4 linked regions of the Oryzias latipes genome follow. The protein of the gene in region 2 purifies or fractionates together with the protein of the main gene of each other region. This does not show direct contact. Links are inferred from orthologs where the notes say so. Each region holds a gene or a part of one and is shown on either strand. Other genes may lie near its edges.

Region 1 (4,801 bases), on a different chromosome or scaffold from region 2:
TGGGAAATAAAATGAAAAAAGCAAAATAACGAATAGCAGTTATATAAGAACGAAAAATGTAAAAAATCCCCCCCCCGACGATGTCATCGTCCATCCCGATGGTTGACAGCAAACATCGTCAACGGCCAAATTAGGGGACATCGCCCAACCCTATGTCTGACTGAGCACAGCTCGGATCGTCAGCACACACAGCGGTTTGAGCTTCAAAGCAGAAATGTCGCTCAGTCCTTAGAAAACATTCAAACAATCACGCGGATTTGTGTTTCCAGTCGTGTCCCGACTAAATAAAGGCTGATGTTATTCTTACATGTTTACGTGCAGCCAGCAAGCAGCACCACCCAAAGCTAATGTTGTTAGCCCGTGTTAGCATACTGCTAATCCTGGCTTCGTTCAGAAAAAGCACTGACCACACGGATTAAAATTCAAATGATGAGCGAACAGGTGTTTCATAATAACCGTAACATTATTAAAGGCACGTTTAGAAGATTGGCTCGTAAATTACTGAGCTGACATGTCAATGTATAAAGCCGCTCGGCGCTGTTTAACATTGTTTTGTATTGAATTGTTACATTCAATAAAGTTTGGAAAAAAAAGCCGCTCGGCGGAAGTTGTATCCCCTTCCGGTTTTCAAACTGCGCATGTGCGAATGATTTATTCCGACCGAAAGTGTGACCTTAGTGAACGTTTTTATATTCTGAAAACATTTTTCTGGGCCCATCTACACGGTTGGATTCTAATCCGACCATTGATCCCATCAAGATATTTTGTACATGTAACCGCGGCTTATGGTGTCGACGCGCAACGTGGCGGGGGCGTGGCATCACGATGGTGGTCTCTCCATCGGGATGTCAGTCACCCATCACGATGGACGATGATATCGTCCATCGGCACAACCCTACCCCTAAGTGAGTTACAGCTGCTCATTTCTCTGTAGAAGTCTATGGAAATTTGGCTTCTTGGAGACAGCGGGAACTTCCTGTTTGGAACTCTACGGGAGAGGAGTCACTCAGTCCAGTTCTCATATACAGTCAACTGTCTAAACAGAGGGAATTGTAAGGAACTGGGTTGAAAAATATGAAGGGTGTCAGTTGGTCTGGACTGAGTCTGCTTAGTTTGGTCCAGATTGAGTCCTGAGCGTTGCATTGGGTCTGTAGTCAGACTGCCTTCAACCGGACATTTCTGTTTCCAACCAACCAAAGCTTGTAAAAAAAAAAACGTGTGACTAAAGATCTCTTCAGTCATTGGCCAGGAATTACGAGGGCAGTCAAAGACTAGTGCACTTTGCAATCCCATTGGTCCAGTGGAGGCTGGCTGTAGGGCGGCTAACGGCAAGAGTCACTGATAAGACTTTATGACATGCAGATGGTCGGGAAAACAGTGAGAAGCAACGTGCGTCACATTAAAAGTTGTTTTAATGAGCCTGCATTTATCCAATCACATTTCAATGAGTTGCTGTGTCTCATCGTCATGGTTACTTCCTTTTCCGTTTACATCCCATACGGAGCGGCTACGGTGGCCATTTTTGGTTCCGTTGTTCCACTCTGGGAACAGACTGTATTCAGACTGAAGAACCTTAGAGTACACCAAAGCTCAGTCCGATTGGAAACGAACTGAGAGACCACCTCCACAGATGGAACCAAGCGGTTCCTGGTCCCGCACCAGGGCCCACTTGGGTTTATTCAGACTGAAAATTTGTTCCAGATTGTCGGGGGAAACGAACTTCTGGTTCACTTTAAGAGAACCAACTGTGTGGAGTCTGAATCCACCCATAGACTGATACTATGGGGTAAGGAATGTGTCAAAAAGAAACGCATTTATGAAGACAAAGTTGTGCGGCTGGTTAGAATCTGGACCAATCAGCAGGCTGTTTGTTGGCACATATGTCACGCTAAACTGAGACTTATGAACGTTAAATCAAAGATAGGGAAACAGCGAAATGAGACGTGTTAAAACGCAAAATTTTTTTTTGAAAGCAGAAAAAAATTTAAGAACTATTTAAGCAACTATTTAATACCTTCACTTGCTACTTAAAAAGTTTTGTTTGCAATGTGTTGGCATAAATATCACTTCATTCTCAAAAAATACGGCAGGACATCGCCATTATAATCTGTTTTTTTTAAACAAAACTATGATAAAGATAATTTCCCTTCTAGAAGATCAATAACATTTCAGAAAGTTTAATTCTGTTTTTAGTTTAATAAACGAGGCTCAACGCGCATGCTCACTCAGTTGAATTGAATATCGGGACTCTGTGTATATGCCAATGACCACATGGCGTATATTTGATACTTTTTTAAAGAAAAAAACAACAACACAATGAACAAAGAAAACACCAAAAGCTGAACTGACAAACGCACCAAAACCATGAGCTCCCATGATGCACCTCGCCCGCTGATTGCTATGGCAGTGGGCGGAAACCGAGTCGTTACAGTAAGAATGCAAACAAATGTTTTACTCCTTACAGTCTTACAAAATAGAGCACACAGATAGCCGCCCGCCGCTTTACAACCGCGGAGTGATCCCGTCAACGAATCCAGTCTTCAGCCGCGTGCGACCGTCCCGTCCCGTGTCCGCTGTGCAAATAGTGCGAGTGTTTAGCTGGCAAACACAGCGACACGACAGGTTGCAGTAACCAGAAACACGCGTGGAACCGTGTCCGGAACTTTAACGCGCCCTGAGGCTCCCCCGGTGCCTCACGCGCTAAAAAAACCGGCTTCGGTGAAAGGATCAGCGAGAGCACGTGCTTCCCGGAGCAGCTCACCGTAAACACGACCGTTTAGGCGCGAAACCACCGCTTTCCAGTGGGTTCTTTACACACCCCGCTCATCTGCTGATAAATAATATGACACGTGGAAAACTATTACCCAAGAAAATAAGATGTAAAGGCAAGAACTTACCTGTTATCGCAGAGGAAATGTCCACGTGACAACACGCGCAAGCGCAGGCTGCCGTAAAGGTTGTCTCTGATGTCGCACAGGAGGTTGCCAGATCAGATCATTTCCCGACAAAACTACGCAGTAAAATCAGTAAAGGCAAACACAACCCGGACTAAACTTCCCCCCACATAAAAAAGCTAAACTAAGACTTTTTAATGGTAATTTACAAAATCAAGATAGATTTATTTTATAAAAATATATAAATCAATAAACTATTAGTTGTCGTCTCCTTTTGAGTGATTTGTTGTTTTTATCAGTCTCTTTTTAATCTTTTGCATTTTCTGTGTGTATTTTCTACACAATTGTTCGTGCGGTTCCTAGTAACTTGAGCTGTATTCATAACTTTTTTTGTGGTATTTGCATCATTTGTTATTTAAAAACACTTAAAAAATTATATTAACAAGAAACTTAGCAAATGCAATAGGAAACCTCTGCTGCTGAGTTACACTACGATTTTCCTCTGACTGCACAACCATGACCAGAAATCCAACTTGCATCTGGATCAGACTTCAGCATGTCATTTTCAGGTGTTTGACTGCTTTAAGGTCTGTCACTGCTTCTTTTCATTTGTGAAGTAGGACTAAACTCAGTTTAATCTTTAAAGTAGAATAATATTGGTTATATTGTGTGGGCTATGTGTGAAAACAAAGATTTCAAACTTGTATATCAGTAATTTTTTTCACAATAAGCCTCACAATAGCTAAAGACTGAAATCAACCCCATGTTCCTTTTGACCTTTAGTTGACTGTAAATGTAAATCAGCACAATAATTTGTGGTTATTTTTTTTTACCTTATTCCATAATTTTACACCTCCAGTTCAATATGTTCAATTTTTTTTTGTTTTAGGTGTTAATTGTTTCTGTAATATTGATAGTTATTTGGATGAATACTTTTTTATGTGTGAATAATATTTTAAAGTAATTCTAAAGTAATTTACTACAGCTCTTTCTAGTGACATCTGGTTAACCAACAAAACTCTTTAAGCATAATTTCTAGAAAAACATTTTTTTAAATTTAAAACAAAACATCAGTTTTGAGAAAAACAGCCTGAATTTGTTCATTTTGCCAACTGCAGATGTGTCCAGCCCAAAGAGTTCCAAAGAAGCGGAAACATGACCGATCTGGCAACCCTTGTCTTCTTTGTGTCATAAGCCGACCTGCCCCGTCCTTAAAGAGACAGACCACTCTGACTTCATCAAAAGTTTCGCCAGACAGACGCTGCTCCAATAGTGGAGATGTTTAAGTGTTTGTTGGCTTTTTAAAATTCTGCTGCGCGGGTAACTATGGCAACAGCTGGTCAGGGAGGAATGCTTTTGTTTTCCGAGAGTGTGTGTGTGAGAGAGAGAGAGGAAAGAGTGTGTGATTGTGTTTGTAACCAGTCGTTGATAGTCACATGCACAAACAGCTGAAGCAGGTGTGCTTTCAGAGGTGCAAGGCAGCTGTTGCCTGGAAGCCCAGGAGATCCCTCACTGTGGAGGAGATGGAGGTTCCCCCACCAAAGACCCATGAAGTCCTGGTCCAGGGGAGGCGTCCTTTTAGGCCTTATGTTTGGCTTCAACTATCAGTTAAAACTCAATGAAATGACCCAATTTTATAACTACCCTAGTTATCCCACAAAGCCTCTCCATGAAGTCCTGGTGGAGATGACAGATGGCGGCGTGGACTACGCCCTGGAGTGTGTTGGAAGCCCGATGGTCATGGTGGGGGTCTTTACATCTTCTACCCTCAGTGTGCAGTTAAGTTTTGAGCACATGTGAGGATCTTGTGCTCACGTTCTCAGAGAGAGAGAGAAGGAGCAGATGGATCCACGTCCTGAAAGTCCTTCTGGGGCGCACTTGAAGTGGACCTACTTTGGGGGTGAAGG
Region 2 (5,091 bases):
TGTGAAGTCCTGGTGACAGAAACGATCAAACTCTTCACCGTCACAGAAAGAGAAAAACATGCGGCTGCTGACTGACAGCCTGCAGAAAACAAATCTGAAAAACCACAGAAGCCAGAAGAATCTAAGCAACTCGTCAAGCCCCGTGGGAGGAAAGAAAAGGATCCCCAGGAGCCCGAATGACCACATGCTGACAGAAGACATCATTTCATACTTGGCCACAGGAGACGAAGAGGGACGGATCTGTTGGGCTGCAGGTCACACAGCTGACGGGCCGAGTGTGAACTGGACGGAGAGAGAGAAAGTGTTTGTCCTTCTGCAAACACCACCGTTGATACACTTCTAACACACAACTCGACTTAAAAATCATCATTTACACTCCTGGTCAAAAGCATAAACAGGAGTGCTTTGCCACTGAAGGCTCTCTTACTGTTGTAGGTGGTCACAGCTGCTTCCTGACTGAGATCCCACACTTTAATCCTGCATTGAAGAGAATTCATTTATTTTAGGAAAAATATCCGAGTCACAACATTTCCACGCTCCTAAATCTTCCAGTCGGCTGTCAGTGAAATGATTGTGATGTCATGACACCCGGATGATGGCGGATGTATGTATCAGAGGATGTTCGGTTGGCCGTTCTGCATGTCAGTCAAATGCTGAGGAGGATTATTTGCAGACAGATTTTTTAAAACATATTTTTATCTAATGTTTTTTTTGATGGCCCACGATTTACCCACAAGTCTGATGAGTTAGAGGATGAATCTCTGCTGTTTCAACACGACTGCACTTCAGAAAGCAAAGTTCATACGGACAAGAACACCAGACTGGTGAAGAAGCACTAGCCTAGATTTGTTTTAATTCAAGCTTCTATTTTACAATTTGTAATGTTTCAATATTGTGTTGGTGTGTATTCAGACTGGAAAAATCATTTGGTATGGATCGAGGCCTGAACCTTGCATCTGGTCTGTATTCAGGCTCCCGTCAAGCGCCTCTTCACCCACAGGCCAGGAATTACGAGGGCGGGGCAAAGCAACTAGAGACAGAAACTACGGAAGTCCTCCAGTTTGCAATCCTTGTCGGGATGGTTCACTTAATAAAACTTTATATTTCGCTCATTCGTTTTTGGCGCCTGTATTAACATCAGGAACAATTCTTTTTACTGCTCCTTTGGTACGGCGGAGGCATCCTGCAAGACGCTTACTGGCAAGAAGATGGTACGAAGGTACGACGATGAGGGTCCACTTGGGGGGATTCAGACTGAAAATTTGGTCCGGATTATTGAGAGAAACAAACTCTGGTTCACTTGAAACGGACCAAAAGTGTCCAGTCTGAACACATCCTAATGTTCTTTTGAGCTTAAAACTTTTCAAATGATCTTTTTTTATTTATTTACAATCTGGTTTTTCATTCACTAAGCTGATCCTGATATGAACCCATAGTGGAAGTAGTTGTAGCAGTAAGGGGTGAACTGACATCACATCAAACCCTCAGAGTTCTGAGTGGATACTAACGTTTCAGCGGTCTAACAGACACGGCAGTCTGACCTGCAGTCCATGCTGCCGGTGACGGCGCCGGTTGCTCCAGTGGGGCTCACGGTCGTCACGATGTGGTCGTGCTCGTGTTTGGTGAAGCGACTAACCAGCAGCCGCTCATCTTCTGCCAAATCCCAGAGCTCTAGAGCACCTGAGGACAAGAAGCAGTTCTGTCCAAACACAATCCTGCCAACCAACAGAACACTGCATCCCTGTCTACTGATGTCAATCTGTCCCAACACACTTAGAAGTACATTTTTCTTACACACGGATGACAGCCTAATATTTAATTCAGTGACAGACCTGATTCCATTAAACAAAGATGCAGGACGGAGGCTGCTAAGGGACAAACAGGCGTAGATGCAATCACTGAACTGTTATTCTGATTCACTAAAAATGTTGGAGGAAAAAAAACAAATGGAAAATACAAATGAAGCCAAAAGAAAGAAAGGAGAAGAAATACTATGACATCTAAATGTTAATAAATAATAATATTATTGGGGAGAATTCTGGCTAAGTTAATAAAGTTCTATAATCCGATATAAAATATGCAATTATTACTGGAAAAATCTGAGAACTTAGAAAATCCGTCCCTTGGCCATAATCCTGCGGCCCGACTGGCTCCATGGGATGTTTGTTCCACAGTTCAAATCAAATTAAACTTTATTTATAAAGCACCTGTCATACATCAGTAAAACAAAGTGCGTTCAATTTAAAAATAAAAACGTTTCACTTAAAACATCCCTCTGAGGAAAACATGAATTTTGCAACAAAATGTTAAAGAAATAAAATATATAAGGTAAAATCAGGGATTAATACGAAGATAAATAAAACTTATTAGATGAGAATAAAGTAAAAATGAGTTAAAAAAGACAGATAAAAATGTGGAAAAAGGATAAATACTTAAAATAATGTAAAACAGCAAATGAATATGTTCTTACATTTGAAGGAAAAGCCAGTTTAAGTTATAGCAGAATGTTTGTAAAGTATTGAACATTGAGTTTTTAGTTGTCAGGATCATTTGAGACGCACCTGAATCTGAAGCAGCAACAATGGCCTTCTCAGTGACCCATTTGACATCAGTGATCCCTGCCTCCGTCTGCACGCCAGCCCTGCAGAAGCCCTCACTGGGGGCCTGCTCAGGCTCCCTGTAGATCCACACAGACCCCTGCCAGGTCCTGCCCGAGAGGCTGGAGGCGCCCAGGAGCAGCGTGCCGTCTGCAGAGGACACAGCACGAACGTGGGAAGCAGCGTTTCTAAAGGTTACACACCAGTTTACAGCCGAACTAAAGAACTGAGCTGAATATATCAGGACACCAACAAACCCCCAGTCCCATAAATGAAAAGCACGTGGTTTATGCCTGTGACCCACGGTTAGCGCCTTCTCTCTTCCTACCTGCTCGGTACTGAGCCGCGCACAGATGCTTCTCCATGCACGCCGGAGCGTTTGGGGGAATATTCCACCGATTTTCCTTGATCATATTTGTGTCGACTGCACTGTTCATCCAAAAAGCAAACTTTAGTCTAGTTTCCCACTAATTCAGATGTGGTTGTCCGCAAATCAGCTACACAACCGTTAACGCTAGCTAAGCTAGCTGCGGCCAAAGAAAAGCTCGTATTTTCTGTTTAGGCAAAATAGAAATATACACCTAAAACGCATACGAGCTTAAAATAACATTTCTAGCGAAAACAATGGATACGTTTTCGCGTCCCGAATGAATGACAACGAAATAATAATGCATTAAACACGTGGGACCGGTGGGGAAAAGGTCCCTTAGGCGTTTGGAGGACTTCTTCGTTGGTGTTTATTGTTCTTTTCCTCTTGTGCGTTTCCCGTCTGCACTGCCCCCTGCGGGCAGAGAAGGTGAACTACAAGGCTTCATTTCAATCAATATGAGAGCTTTCTGTATTAGTGGGTGTGTTTGGTCTGGCACAGGCGCGGGTTGGTGGTGGGCAATGATGATTTATTGTGAGTGTGAAATGTGACGGGATCTAACCAGGTTTTAAAATGTTTTGTTTAAAATAAATTATCCACGTTTAAAAAAAATGTGTTGCTTGGTTTTATCTGAGTACTTGTTCCAGCAGATGTAGTTGAATAAGTCAATTTGATTAACAACTAGCCTCAGACAGATCAATCTGGTTGAATCGTAGGAAAGCAAATCGATTAAGTCGATTAATTGTGCCACCCCTGTGACTCGAACAGCTTACAGTGACTGAGTTTCCTGTACTTTGGGATGTTAACATGATCTGGAAGCAAAAATTGAGGTGTCTTTCTAACTGAGAAATAAGTATGAAATTCATTTACTGCCCATCCATTCAGAACAAAGAGGTTGGGACAGCAATGACATGGTGGAAAATTCAACACAAAGTCCAGCCATCCATCCATCCATCTTCAGAACCGGCTGAATCCATTTTGCAGTCGTGAGGTTGCTGGAGCCTATCCTGCTACTGTTGGGAAAAGGTGAGGTACACCCTGAACAGGTCACCAGTCTGTTGCAGGGTCCCACAGGCATGCACACAGACACCTAAAGGACTATTAAGTCATAAAACAATTCCATGAAGCGTGTTCGTGTAAAACGCATAAATAAAAGGACCCAGCTGGGGTCTGAAATGGATAATTTTAGGAATTGTCAGTAAACAAATGTACAAAGCTTTCATTTATACATTCCCAAAAATCCCCAAAGAAATTACATAAGGATGCAGAAAATTTAAAAACGATCTGGATTATATGGTATAGAAGTTATACATTTGTAAAGCATGACAGGTCAATTGTATTGAGGGCTGTAAGCTGTAGCTTTGTGCTATGTACACCAAGAAAACACAAAGTTTTTTAATTGTGTTCATTAGGACACAGTGAGCCCGCATACACATATGTGCTAGAGCGTAGCATCTCTGTGATTATTGTTTGATAAATTTTAAGTTTTTACATATGAGAAGGAGCACGAGAATCACTTGTGGCTCACAAGGATCAATTTCTGCTGTTTTGCACAAATATTTGTTTTTTTCTTTATGTGATGGTCAACATAAAAAATTGTAAGTATATATTTTAAACTATTCTTATTTATTCATTCTGTTCAGTTTTTATGTCTTGCAGATTTACCTTCATTTATTATAGCCTATTTAATAAAAAACAAGTTTTTTGTACGTTTGTAAATAGTGCTGGTAAGATTTAGGCATAACCTAGTGGGATTCCTAACGTTATTTCTATTTTAAAATTTCTATTGAAATTTTATCTTATAGTTTTTATAAAGAAAACAAACAACTATGACTATTGTTATCCCCTAAACGTGTTTTATTATTTTAGAAAATCGATGATCCCCCAAAGATGCACAGTTTGCATGAGCAATGGTGTTCTGCTGAAGCTAAAAACAAACCAGAAATGTTGAATTTGATGTTTGATGGAACAGCTTTTGAGTGTGATTTCCATGTAATAAAGATGCGAAGCCGCAGAAGCCGAGGTTTCATCCTCCAGACTTTATTGTGAAAGAGCAGAGCGGAAGTGATGATTAGGGATAATTTCACACTAGTGCTCTTCTGTCTGAAATCGATATGTGATTGGCTT
Region 3 (4,915 bases), on a different chromosome or scaffold from region 2:
GAGGTGAATTTTCTAATGAATGCCTGCCGCTCTGCAGAAACGATGTCTCCAAAAAAACAACACAGGTTTTTTGAGTTTGCCTAAAAACTGCACATTTATAATTATAGATCACGGGATAATCTGAGTGGGACTTTAAATATTATTATTTGTGCTTTGATTGCTTGAAAAAAGAAAAATGTCAAATCAAATCAAAGCAAATTTAAAGGGGTTTGGCTACATGTTGCACCAGAAAAACAAAACATGAAGAAAAAGGAACTTCCTGGTTGAATAAACGTCAAAATGGAAAAAAAAAATAGTGATGTGTAAAATAAAAAAATGGAGGCAAATAAAACTGTTAACAAATCGTAATCCTTACTTTTCCTTTCTCTGTCGATCCAAACACCCAAAACAAATAGTTTTATTTAATAATGAAGGATCATCAAGGTTTTTGCAGTCAAAACATTGAAAAAAAAATTACACAACATAAAAATCGTATAAAGGGAAGTTTTTCTTTGTTTTTAGGGTTTAAAAATGGTTTTGACTCTGAACAAAACTTTGCACATCTTTTACTTTATGGTCTTCTCTGTGTCAATCATTCATACGTTCTATTATAACCTTCTGTCCCTCCGCAGTTCTCCGGACTCTACCTGGTCTCCCTGGTGGTCATCCTGATCGGCTTCATCACCTTCAATGCCGTCCCAACTGTTACTAGGTCTGCAGAGCCCACCACCTCTTCCTCCTCCTCCTCTTCCTCCATTGGCGAGGACGCTTGCTTCGACAATCCCGTCACTCAGGAGGACGTCTCCAAAGAAGTGTCTGTTCGGATCCCAGCTGAGGTGGAACTGAGGGGGGAACAAAAGAGGAAGAGGAGGGCTGCAGAAGAACACGATCGTGAAGATGCCGTTGGAGTCAGAAGCAGCACTAAAATGTGAAGAGCAGCACGAGTGTCCATGAAAAATTCAAGAATTATGGAGTTTTTCTTAGCTTTTTGAGGCTGATCTGTTTTATTCTTCTTTTTGTCAGAGGCATGAAATGTTCTTGATTTTGACCAATAAATATTCCTCTTCATGTGTGAACATCATCGTCCGTCTTTCAGATAGCTTCTGACAGGTGAGAACCGGTCATGATTCCTCTCTGTCTCTGTGGGTCAAACTCACCGATGACCCTTCATTGTGCTCAAATATGAACACCTGGAACATTTTCAAATCTCATTTGTCAGCCGTGTCACACTGAGTCACATGATGTCTGTTGAGTTTTATTTGCTAAAAAGTTGCTGATGTGACTTGTAGAGTCTTAGAAATGTTTAGACTGTGTAAAGTAAACCAATTAGAAAGAATACATTAAAGATAATTTACAAAATTTGAGTTTTTTTTTTTAAATCTGAGTTGATAAATTGGTAAGTGTGTGAGACCCCCCACCCTGTTTATCTCATCATCATCTTTTGAAATGCTAAAAAAAAGGGTACCTTAGAAATCTAAGGAATCCCAGGCTTTAAACTGGGATTTGGCTCTTTAGGTGAACCGAAGGCCACAAAAGGTTTTCTCTCAGAAAAAACGTGACTTCTTTGAATGATTAGTGACAGAGGATAGTTTTTCACATTTTGATGCAATCTTTTTATTCAACCCATGGAATAAAAGCTGAAAGTCTGCACTTCAATGACATCTGAGTTGTTTTATTTAAAATTCACCGTGGTAATGTACAGAAACAAAATTAGAAATAATATCTCTCTGTCCAAATATTTATGGTCCTGACTGTGTATATATACGTATATATATTTATATAGTCAAAAGGTTGTGCTTGTGTTTTTTAAATAAGAAAATATTTCTTTTTGGGGGGGGGGCGTCACTGTTTAAAAAAATTAAAAATAAAAAAGTTCGGAATGGGTGTAATCAGCTAAACAGCCACTAGAGGGCAGTGTAAAAAATATGCCACAGATGGCTTGAGGAGGCACGCTGGTCACGTGATTCGTTGACGTAAGGAAGAAACCGCGATATTTCAGTATCAACAAGCGCTCGCTGTCTGGCTGTTTCGGATTTTACGTTTTCTGTTGTAATTTCCCCCCCCAGAATTCCCTTGTCGTGACTCGAGTTTTGTCCTGAAACGAGGCTTACTGCGGTTAAACTAAGCCGCTCTGTTACCGGAAGTGGGTCACGGCTCTTCCTTTTGGGTTCCAAAGCAGTTCTGTTCTGTTCGGGCCCACGTTAACGGTCTAACGGACGATGGTTCTGGTGAGAAACCTCCGTCCTCCTACCGAGGGAGTGCGCCACGAGGAAGCCAACACCACTGCGGTGCTGAGCGGGCAGCAGCTCGGCTGTGGCACGTTGTACGTCGCCGAAACGTAAGTGATCCACGTGGCGCGCGTGTTTTGGTCGTTACACGTTGGAGGCAAATCTTTATGCACATTTCATTCACCCCGAAATGTATCCATCATAATATGTTCGATGATAAACTGCAGCTTGTTAGCACTAGTTCAGACCCCAGGAAGAGCTTCCGGTATTGCCCTGCTTTTCAAAATAAAACGTTAAATCGAAGTCATGTTTACGTGACAGTTCCGTGGTTCATTTTCTGCTGTCAAAGTATTGAATTAAAATAGGTTTATTGATTTATCCCCATTGATTTGTTTGTCTTTAACTTTAGTCTCAACTGATCACAAGACCTTTAAAGAGTAACTTTCCGTTTTTTCATATTAATTTTGTATTTTAAAGGTTAACACTGGATGGACTCTATACATGAAGTGTAAATACTATGTTTAACTAAATCTTTTCATTTTAATAACTTTGAATAAAAAATAATAGATTAGATTTGTCCCTGTAGTTAATTCCTGTGATTATTGTTATTTCTTTTTTTAGTGAAATTAAATTTAACTTGATTATTTGCTCAGGAAATCTTAATAAGATGTACTTTGAGGTTCAACATAACTCCTCTGATCATTCATTATTGTTTGGTAGTGCATTTTTAAATGAATATATTTTATTTCTCAGGTTAATGGATAAATAATTCAATAGAAAGGAGTCAGTGAGTCAAAATGCAGCCTATAATAAAGATCTTTATGGTTACGTGGCGCTGCAACACTTTCAGCTAACTCGACGTCAGACTTGATTCTCTTTTTCTGGTTTTTAATGTTGGAATCGGCCTCCTCTGATCTGTGTCTTTGTCCGTCTCAGGCGCCTGTCGTGGTTCGACGGCTCAGGGATGGGCTTCTCCCTGGAATACCCCTCCATCAGTCTGCACGCCATCTCCAGGGATGTCAGCGCCTACCCCGAGGAGCATCTCTACGTCATGGTCAACGGAAAACTAGGCGGTAAGAAAACCTTCAGTCATCTCTAAGCTTATTTGATTGCTTGAAATAAACCATTTCAAATCAAATCAAATCTCCTGAAAGCAGATCTGGGTTTTCTGCTTTGGTTTTTCTTCATTCATTCAACAATTTCATCCGTTCGTTTTCTTGTAGGTGAGGGTGAAGCTGAGATGACAGAGAAAGCAGCAGAAGAAGAAGATGATGATGGTAGTGACAGCAGCAACGGTGACGAAGAGGAAGTGATCACAGAAATTCGATTTGTTCCCAGAGACAAAGCTTCATGTGAGTGAGCGGTAACGGCCACCCGATCCGTGACGGCTAACCGATCAAGATCGCGTAGCCGTCACGGATCGGCCCCCCCCCCCTGATCCCGCCCGTCTGCCATAAAAAGTAGAAGATTAGAAATGTTTGCGTCTGTTTCCACGCAGTGGAGTCCATGTTCTCAGCCATGTGCGAGTGCCAGGCGTTACATCCAGACCCCGACGACGAAGACTCAGACAACGACTTCGAAGGAGAGGAGTACAATGTGGAGGAAGCTGGTAAGGACAACAGACGCACACAGCCGGGGAAACTTTATTTAAAATGTTTTTCTTATTTTATTCCCATCATTTTTGCAGAAATGCAAGGATTTTCTCACATATATAAAATAATCAGATTTTTTTGGATCAATATTAACTTTCAGGTGATTGATTGATGCTGAAACTGATGGTCAGTGAAACGCTGAAGATGACTAAAAGAAACTCAAATATTAACCCTAATTCTTTATAGTTCATACTGTGGCTGTAATGGCCTGGAAATTAAATCTCTGCTGTTTTTTTCACACTAAATATGATTTCAGATTTACATTGATTTTTTTTCTTTCCCCTCTCTTTACTTTCTTTAAAAAAAAAAAAGACAAATGACAGAATATAGCTAGCAGAAATGCTTTTATTTTGACATTTCCTTTGGGAGTGGACCTCAATTCAAGTTGCAACTGAATACAGACTGTAAGGCTTCTGAAACGTTGTGTTTTTGAGCTGCTGCTGCTTGATCGTCTCACAGAAAGCAGCACCGTTTGACTCTGGCTCAGCTGCTGAAACCAGTTTGTGCTTTAGGGAGCTGCTAACGCATTCTGCAAATTGTTGCTTCAAGTCTGAAGTTGAAAATCCAAACCCCTTCCATGTTTTTTGGGAACGAGCCCCTCTTCTTTTTGCTTGCTGGCATTTTACCGTGCGAGAGACGGGCGGGCTAACACAACAGAGCAGGATGCTGGACGGAAAAAATCCAGATTGTCCCGAAAGTAAATCTTTCTAAAGACCCATTCAGATGAAAACGGTGTTTTTAACATGTTCATGTAGCATTTTTTCCTCATGCTGGAGGACAAATATTAAGAAAATAAGGCTTTAAATTTCATTTTTCATTTAAAAAAAAGCTCATAACTGCACTCTGCAACCCCCCTGCTCCTTTCTGCTGCATCTACTTAGAAAAATAGATCCATAGACGTCTTCGTTTTCCTCGTCTGAGCTGGAATCTGGATCTAAACTCTACGGCTGGACAGCTCCGATATCATGCTCGCCGTTTATTTGGACCGGTGATTTTAGGTTGGGGGGTGTGAGGGGCTGGAAGCTAGCAGGACACCGTGTAAACAAAGGAATGATG
Region 4 (5,051 bases), on a different chromosome or scaffold from region 2:
TCTGGCAGACTGATTCCCTCAGAAACCCCACATTAGAATCTGACCGGTGACTTTGCAGGCAGAAATCAGAGAAACCCTTCTCCTCCAGAACAAAGCCATTAATTCTGACAGTACCGAGCTTTTTAGAACCCACTTTGTTCCAGGACCTAAAGCCAGGTTTGCCTCCTGGGCTTCGCCTTGAGCTGTACCTTGTTGGACATCTGCTGGCAGTGCTGCTCTGTGGTGTGGATGAGCGTCTGGTCCAGATCCACCATGAGGACCAGCTTCCTGTTCCGGTGCAGCCTCTGCTGGTCCTCTCTGCCCAGCTGCTCGGCTTGCTGCCAAACAAAGGAGAACCCCGCCGGTGAAGCCGAGTATGACAGGCTTATGGGTACATTTTCTCCACCGTTTTCAAACATTCATTTGTAGAAGAACCAGCGTGTGGTCCACTGCAGGAACACTTCTTTAACCTCAGACTGAGAGCTTCGTCTTGGATATGAACTCAGCTTGAAGTGTGGACGCACAGACAGCTGCCATCGTGACTCACCTCAGAGCTGACCATCAGTTCAGGGACACTGTGCACCATGGAGACGGTTGCCGTGGAGATGGGGGTGTGCTGGTTTCCGTTTGTCCCCTGAAGCCTGAGACGAGAGAGAGAGAGAGACCACGCTCAGGTCCTCCAGCAAACTGTCAGAGGAGGTCTGCTATTTGTTTCAGATCCACCACCAAACACACAATCCCAACACTTACACCCCAGCACGGATGGATGCTGACGGAGAAAACAGGAAGTCAGCGTCAACAAATCCACATTTACTCACAGATGTGTACATTTAAGGAGCTAACGAGTGCATTTTTATTGAACTTCACTGTCACTGATGTGGTTTTAACAGCTATGGAAAAAACACAAGATGTCCAGGTAATGTGAATGTCTGCTCATTTAAAACGGTACTCTGGATAATGTAGTTCAAAATCCTTTTACACTCAAAAACTGATTATTTTATCATGTTTTGGTGCAGACGGATAACATGGACTACAAAGACCAATGTAACCTGGTCCAACTCGATACAAACAGAACTTTACCACTGAGAGATTAAAGCGATGCAGAGAAGTGACAGCAGTAGATAAAAAAACCTCAAATTTCAGAAATGAGACACATTTAACAACAAAAGAAAGTGAACATAAATACATTCATCCCAGTAAAATAAAATAAAAACTTAAGAAGGGGCATTGCTAAAAGATTAATTGAAAACTATGTGGACAAAAACAAATAATATGCTGAATCATCATTAGGTGTGAAAGGAAAAAAATAGGCGTTTCAAACAGAAATCCTGGTGTCTGGCGCCCCCTGATGGCGTCATCTGGAATAGCACTCTACACAAACTAAACCTGACAGCTTTTATAAATTAGGCATTATTTACAAAAAAACAGAAGACAGTGTATTCTTACTGAGTCAAATCCTGGCCACATTCGGCGCATAAACCCTTCATGACAACAGGGTGGCTGCATTCTTCGATTCTGACAATGACACCCCTGAAAACAAACAAACACACAAACATAGATTAGTGGAAACATTCAGTGAAATTCACTGGTCATGTTCAGGTGGAACCCATGACTCTGAAAGAGATACAGGGGGTTCTGCAGAAAGATGGAGCGATGGATGGATAGATATTCAGCTGGAACACAATATTCAATACATCTGCAGTGCATAGATTTTAAATACATTATTGGTGTGGACAGTGTTTCTAGTTCAGACTGCTTTTTAAAACAAGTTTCAGATGAGTGTTCCCCACTAAACCACAGAGGTTTAGAATGAGATAAAGATGAGGAAAAGGGAAAAATAAGGTGAAAGCCACGGAAAGGGACGTTTTTTTTGTCCACAGGTGGAGTTTAAAAGAGGCACCTGAAGGCTTTATGAGTCTGAACCCTTTCAGTCCAGATTTATGTCAAGTCAGATGTTTGAATTTTTAAGGGAATTTTTCCCTAAAAAAAGTTTATTTCTGTTTAAAAAAAGAAGTAAAAAAAAAGGTTTTTACTTTCTATAATAATAATAAATATATTTAAAAATAACTCGTGCACATTTGTAGAATAAAGAAATTAATGAGATAAAAATAGGTAAGCAGGACAATATAAGGCTTCTGAAAAATAGAGGGAAAGTGTCCATTTGCGTCATGCGCTTGTCAATGAGATGACATTTCAAAATAAGAGACATTGTTTGTTTGAATGTATATTTATTAAAATCGAGATAGTCTATAAAAGGTTGAGTGTGGCTTCTATTCTATTTTATTCTTGTTTGTTGTCTCTCACTGGAATACATGGTAAAATCGAGCAGAAAATGTGATGCTGAGAGGACTTTGCTTTTAATTTGAAAGTCTGTTGAAGTTCAGTTTGTTTACGTTGAGTCGCTGTTAACATGCTGCTAACATGCTAGCGTGGGGTTAGCATGTTAGCCTGAACCAGAGAAAATTAATAAAGAAGAGACGAACCATGATAAGGGCCCGCGTGCCATTAGAATACCACGCGGGTCCCCCTGACCCGAACGTTTCCAGCAGACTCACCCCGGAGGAATGATGTGTCCGGTCTGGCAGCAGAGCTCCTTCACCACTCCTGCACGGTTCGACTTCACCTTCTTCTCTGATGGCCGGACGCCCTCCGCCGCCTCCTCCCGGGGCACGACCGCGCACAGCGCTATCACGGAGTCCACGTTCACCAGTGTCCCGGGCTTCACTTTCCACTCCAGCAGCCGCAAAGGAAGCGCTTCGGTCGGCCAGCACATATCCGCCACCTGCGCCGCGGGGCCCTCCGCTGATGCGCCGCCAGAACCCACGGGAGGGTCCTCCATCTGCCCCCCCACTCCAAACCGGTAATTCGCACGCAGAGGTCCGGTCACAGCAGCTCCACCGATGTGCCGCGGATCAACGATACGCAGAGGGGAAAAGCCTCCAGAGGTTTTCACCCAAACCCTGGACCCTTCAAGGTTCGCTCTTCCCGCCCGTGAAAGCGCAACACTGACACGGACAGCTACGGCATCCGGTGCGCAGCAGCGAACCAAAACACACTACCTTTCAAAATAAAGGTACCGTGCTAAATAACATAGCCAGATTGATTTTTTTAAGCACTTTAAAACAATTTTAGTGTAAACACGACTCACGACTTATGTGTGTGTCTAATGTTTAAAGTGTGATGATGTGCTCAGTACAAACATGTCAGACACGTTACAGTGTGAATCAAATATATCCAGCTTTTATTTTGAAAACAACACGTTAATCTTGTTCCTTTTAAAACTTCAATCTAAAAAAAAGTTTTAAAAATATTGATAGTACTAACCTATTGAAATATGTACTCAATAAATACAAATAAAAATAATAAAAAGGGAAGAGAAATGTAGACATTTTTCTGCATGAAACTTTGCCGGTTCTTTGTCGGTGACACTTGACGTGTGATGAAGGCTGTTGTTCAAGGATAACACACAAGAAGAAGCAGAATGCTGTGGGGGCGTTTTAATGGTTACTTGTGCCTGTTTGGGGGGGTGGGGTTATGGGCATTTTGGTCACAGATTAAGGTCACTTCATTGCAGTTTACTAATGTGGGAAACATGTTTGTCAAAGTATTAAGCAGGCAAATATTAAAGAAATCCGAATCGATCAGCAGGCCGAGGGCATGACCTTTGACACTTACCCGTGTCTGTTTAGAACAGAGAGTTCCGCTGAGATTAGATGTTACCTCGCGTCATTAGAGGCGCATTAATGTTCCGGAGAAAACATCCTTTCAAAATGACATGCCCCCCAACATGCAGCACACAAAGGGCAGTACGTTTCAACTATTAAATAAAATTCAAAGAATATGCATTTTATACGGGTTGTTAAAGTCGATGTGTGAATGTATTAAGTAAAACTTTTATAAAACCTTTTTTTTTTTTTTTAGCTAGACCGGAAGTGGGTAAGTAGAGATCATCTCGCATTTCTACACTCTTTGGTCAATCGTGGCGACTATGCTAGGAGCATCCGGAGGAGGAGGAGGCGCAGACTCCGGACTTTTTCAGGCAAGAACGAGGATCCTGGAGTTCCCTCGCCGCTCGGAGCAGTTATAACTTGAAGAGCAATGACGGCGGAGGCCTCGGCAGTGGTAAATACCAACACGTTATGCATAGAATGTGGGGTTTCATGAATTTCACCAGCAGCTAGCTGTTATTAGCAGTCATGCTAGCCGGTGATGATTCTGTGTCAGACTGTAAATATCTGTCAGCGTTCCCGCCTTTCTTCTCACACTCTTGTCCAAGTTCAACCGCTGACAGGAGCGTTAGTTCGCCTCCTAACCAGCTGTCTTCGTTTGAAGACAGGAGATCATGTTCTCCTCCTCCCATGATGATGTGAAGAACACAGAGAGGACATCTTCACATGTGTCAGCCTCAGGTCATTGACATCTCTCTATCTCCTAAATCAATGTGTCAGGAGCAGAGACATTCTGTCCCTCAGATGCAGACAAAAACAACAAGGCCTGGCCTTGGTGGGAGATGGACCCCCCCATCCCTGCTCTGCTGTGCTTTGACTCAAAACAGACTGAAGCTGGGAGCAGAGATCATCTCTGTCAGGAGTCTGGCTGCACAGATGACGCCTTGCTTCACAGATTATATTTAATCCAGCAGTTTTTGACTGTGCCTGTGAAGACGACACGTGACTGAGGCTCTCCCCCCAATTTAGCTGCGATTATGTCGGCACCACGTGTCTCTGCTGAGAAGACGCCCTCCTGGACCGTTTCTCCAAACATCCAGATCTTTCTCCTCAGTCAGGTACAAACAAGAAGTACATTCTGGGAAAGCAGCTGCTATCTGCTCGGTGTTTTGCTAAAACCAGGACTGTTTGTGTGTCTTTCAGGGGAGGCAGGCACAGAGGGATGCTGTGGAAGAGTGTGGCGGCGCTCACAGTGGGCGCCGTTTGTGTCCAGTATGCGGCGTCGGACGCCAGAGAGAGGAGGAGGAAGAGGATCATGATTGAAGGATTCGGCCGTTTCTGCAGGTTGCTATAATGTTTCATCCAACCAGCCTCTGTTAGAATGGAAACTTGACTTGAATTTGA

The links.
Region 1: the proteins of wdr77 (region 2) and gar1 purify together in Homo sapiens (affinity purification with mass spectrometry; 3 studies listed by BioGRID and IntAct, with this or other methods). This does not show direct contact. The link is inferred for Oryzias latipes from reciprocal best matches to the Homo sapiens genes WDR77 and GAR1.
Region 3: the proteins of wdr77 (region 2) and clns1a purify together in Homo sapiens (affinity purification with mass spectrometry; 6 studies listed by BioGRID and IntAct, with this or other methods). This does not show direct contact. The link is inferred for Oryzias latipes from reciprocal best matches to the Homo sapiens genes WDR77 and CLNS1A.
Region 4: the proteins of wdr77 (region 2) and ctdp1 fractionate together in Homo sapiens (co-fractionation; 3 studies listed by BioGRID and IntAct, with this or other methods). This does not show direct contact. The link is inferred for Oryzias latipes from reciprocal best matches to the Homo sapiens genes WDR77 and CTDP1.

What each region holds. Positions count from the first base shown.
Region 1 is NC_019868.2:3,863,569-3,868,369, forward strand, and holds the start of gar1 (H/ACA ribonucleoprotein complex subunit 1), read right to left. Parts: upstream 2,986-4,801; 5' UTR 2,898-2,985; intron 2,779-2,897; exon of another isoform or gene 2,762-2,778; intron 1-2,761. UniProt on the Homo sapiens protein: Required for ribosome biogenesis and telomere maintenance. Part of the H/ACA small nucleolar ribonucleoprotein (H/ACA snoRNP) complex, which catalyzes pseudouridylation of rRNA.
Region 2 is NC_019863.2:2,525,822-2,530,912, forward strand, and holds the start of wdr77 (methylosome protein 50), read right to left. Parts: upstream 3,343-5,091; 5' UTR 3,035-3,342; coding exon 2,926-3,034; intron 2,748-2,925; coding exon 2,562-2,747; intron 1,681-2,561; coding exon 1,542-1,680; intron 478-1,541; coding exon 428-477; intron 283-427; coding exon 212-282; intron 1-211. UniProt on the Homo sapiens protein: Non-catalytic component of the methylosome complex, composed of PRMT5, WDR77 and CLNS1A, which modifies specific arginines to dimethylarginines in several spliceosomal Sm proteins and histones.
Region 3 is NC_019871.2:4,487,230-4,492,144, forward strand, and holds the start of clns1a (methylosome subunit pICln), read left to right. Parts: upstream 1-1,930; 5' UTR 1,931-2,198; coding exon 2,199-2,317; intron 2,318-3,143; coding exon 3,144-3,280; intron 3,281-3,430; coding exon 3,431-3,559; intron 3,560-3,705; coding exon 3,706-3,816; intron 3,817-4,915. Other genes in the region: solute carrier family 35 member F2, read left to right, coding at 612-911. UniProt on the Homo sapiens protein: Involved in both the assembly of spliceosomal snRNPs and the methylation of Sm proteins.
Region 4 is NC_019869.2:25,066,865-25,071,915, reverse strand, and holds the start of ctdp1 (RNA polymerase II subunit A C-terminal domain phosphatase), read right to left. Parts: upstream 2,986-5,051; 5' UTR 2,819-2,985; coding exon 2,535-2,818; intron 1,510-2,534; coding exon 1,426-1,509; intron 621-1,425; coding exon 527-620; intron 318-526; coding exon 189-317; intron 1-188. Other genes in the region: adck5 (uncharacterized aarF domain-containing protein kinase 5), read left to right, coding at 4,078-4,101, 4,677-4,765, 4,851-4,991. UniProt on the Homo sapiens protein: Processively dephosphorylates 'Ser-2' and 'Ser-5' of the heptad repeats YSPTSPS in the C-terminal domain of the largest RNA polymerase II subunit. This promotes the activity of RNA polymerase II.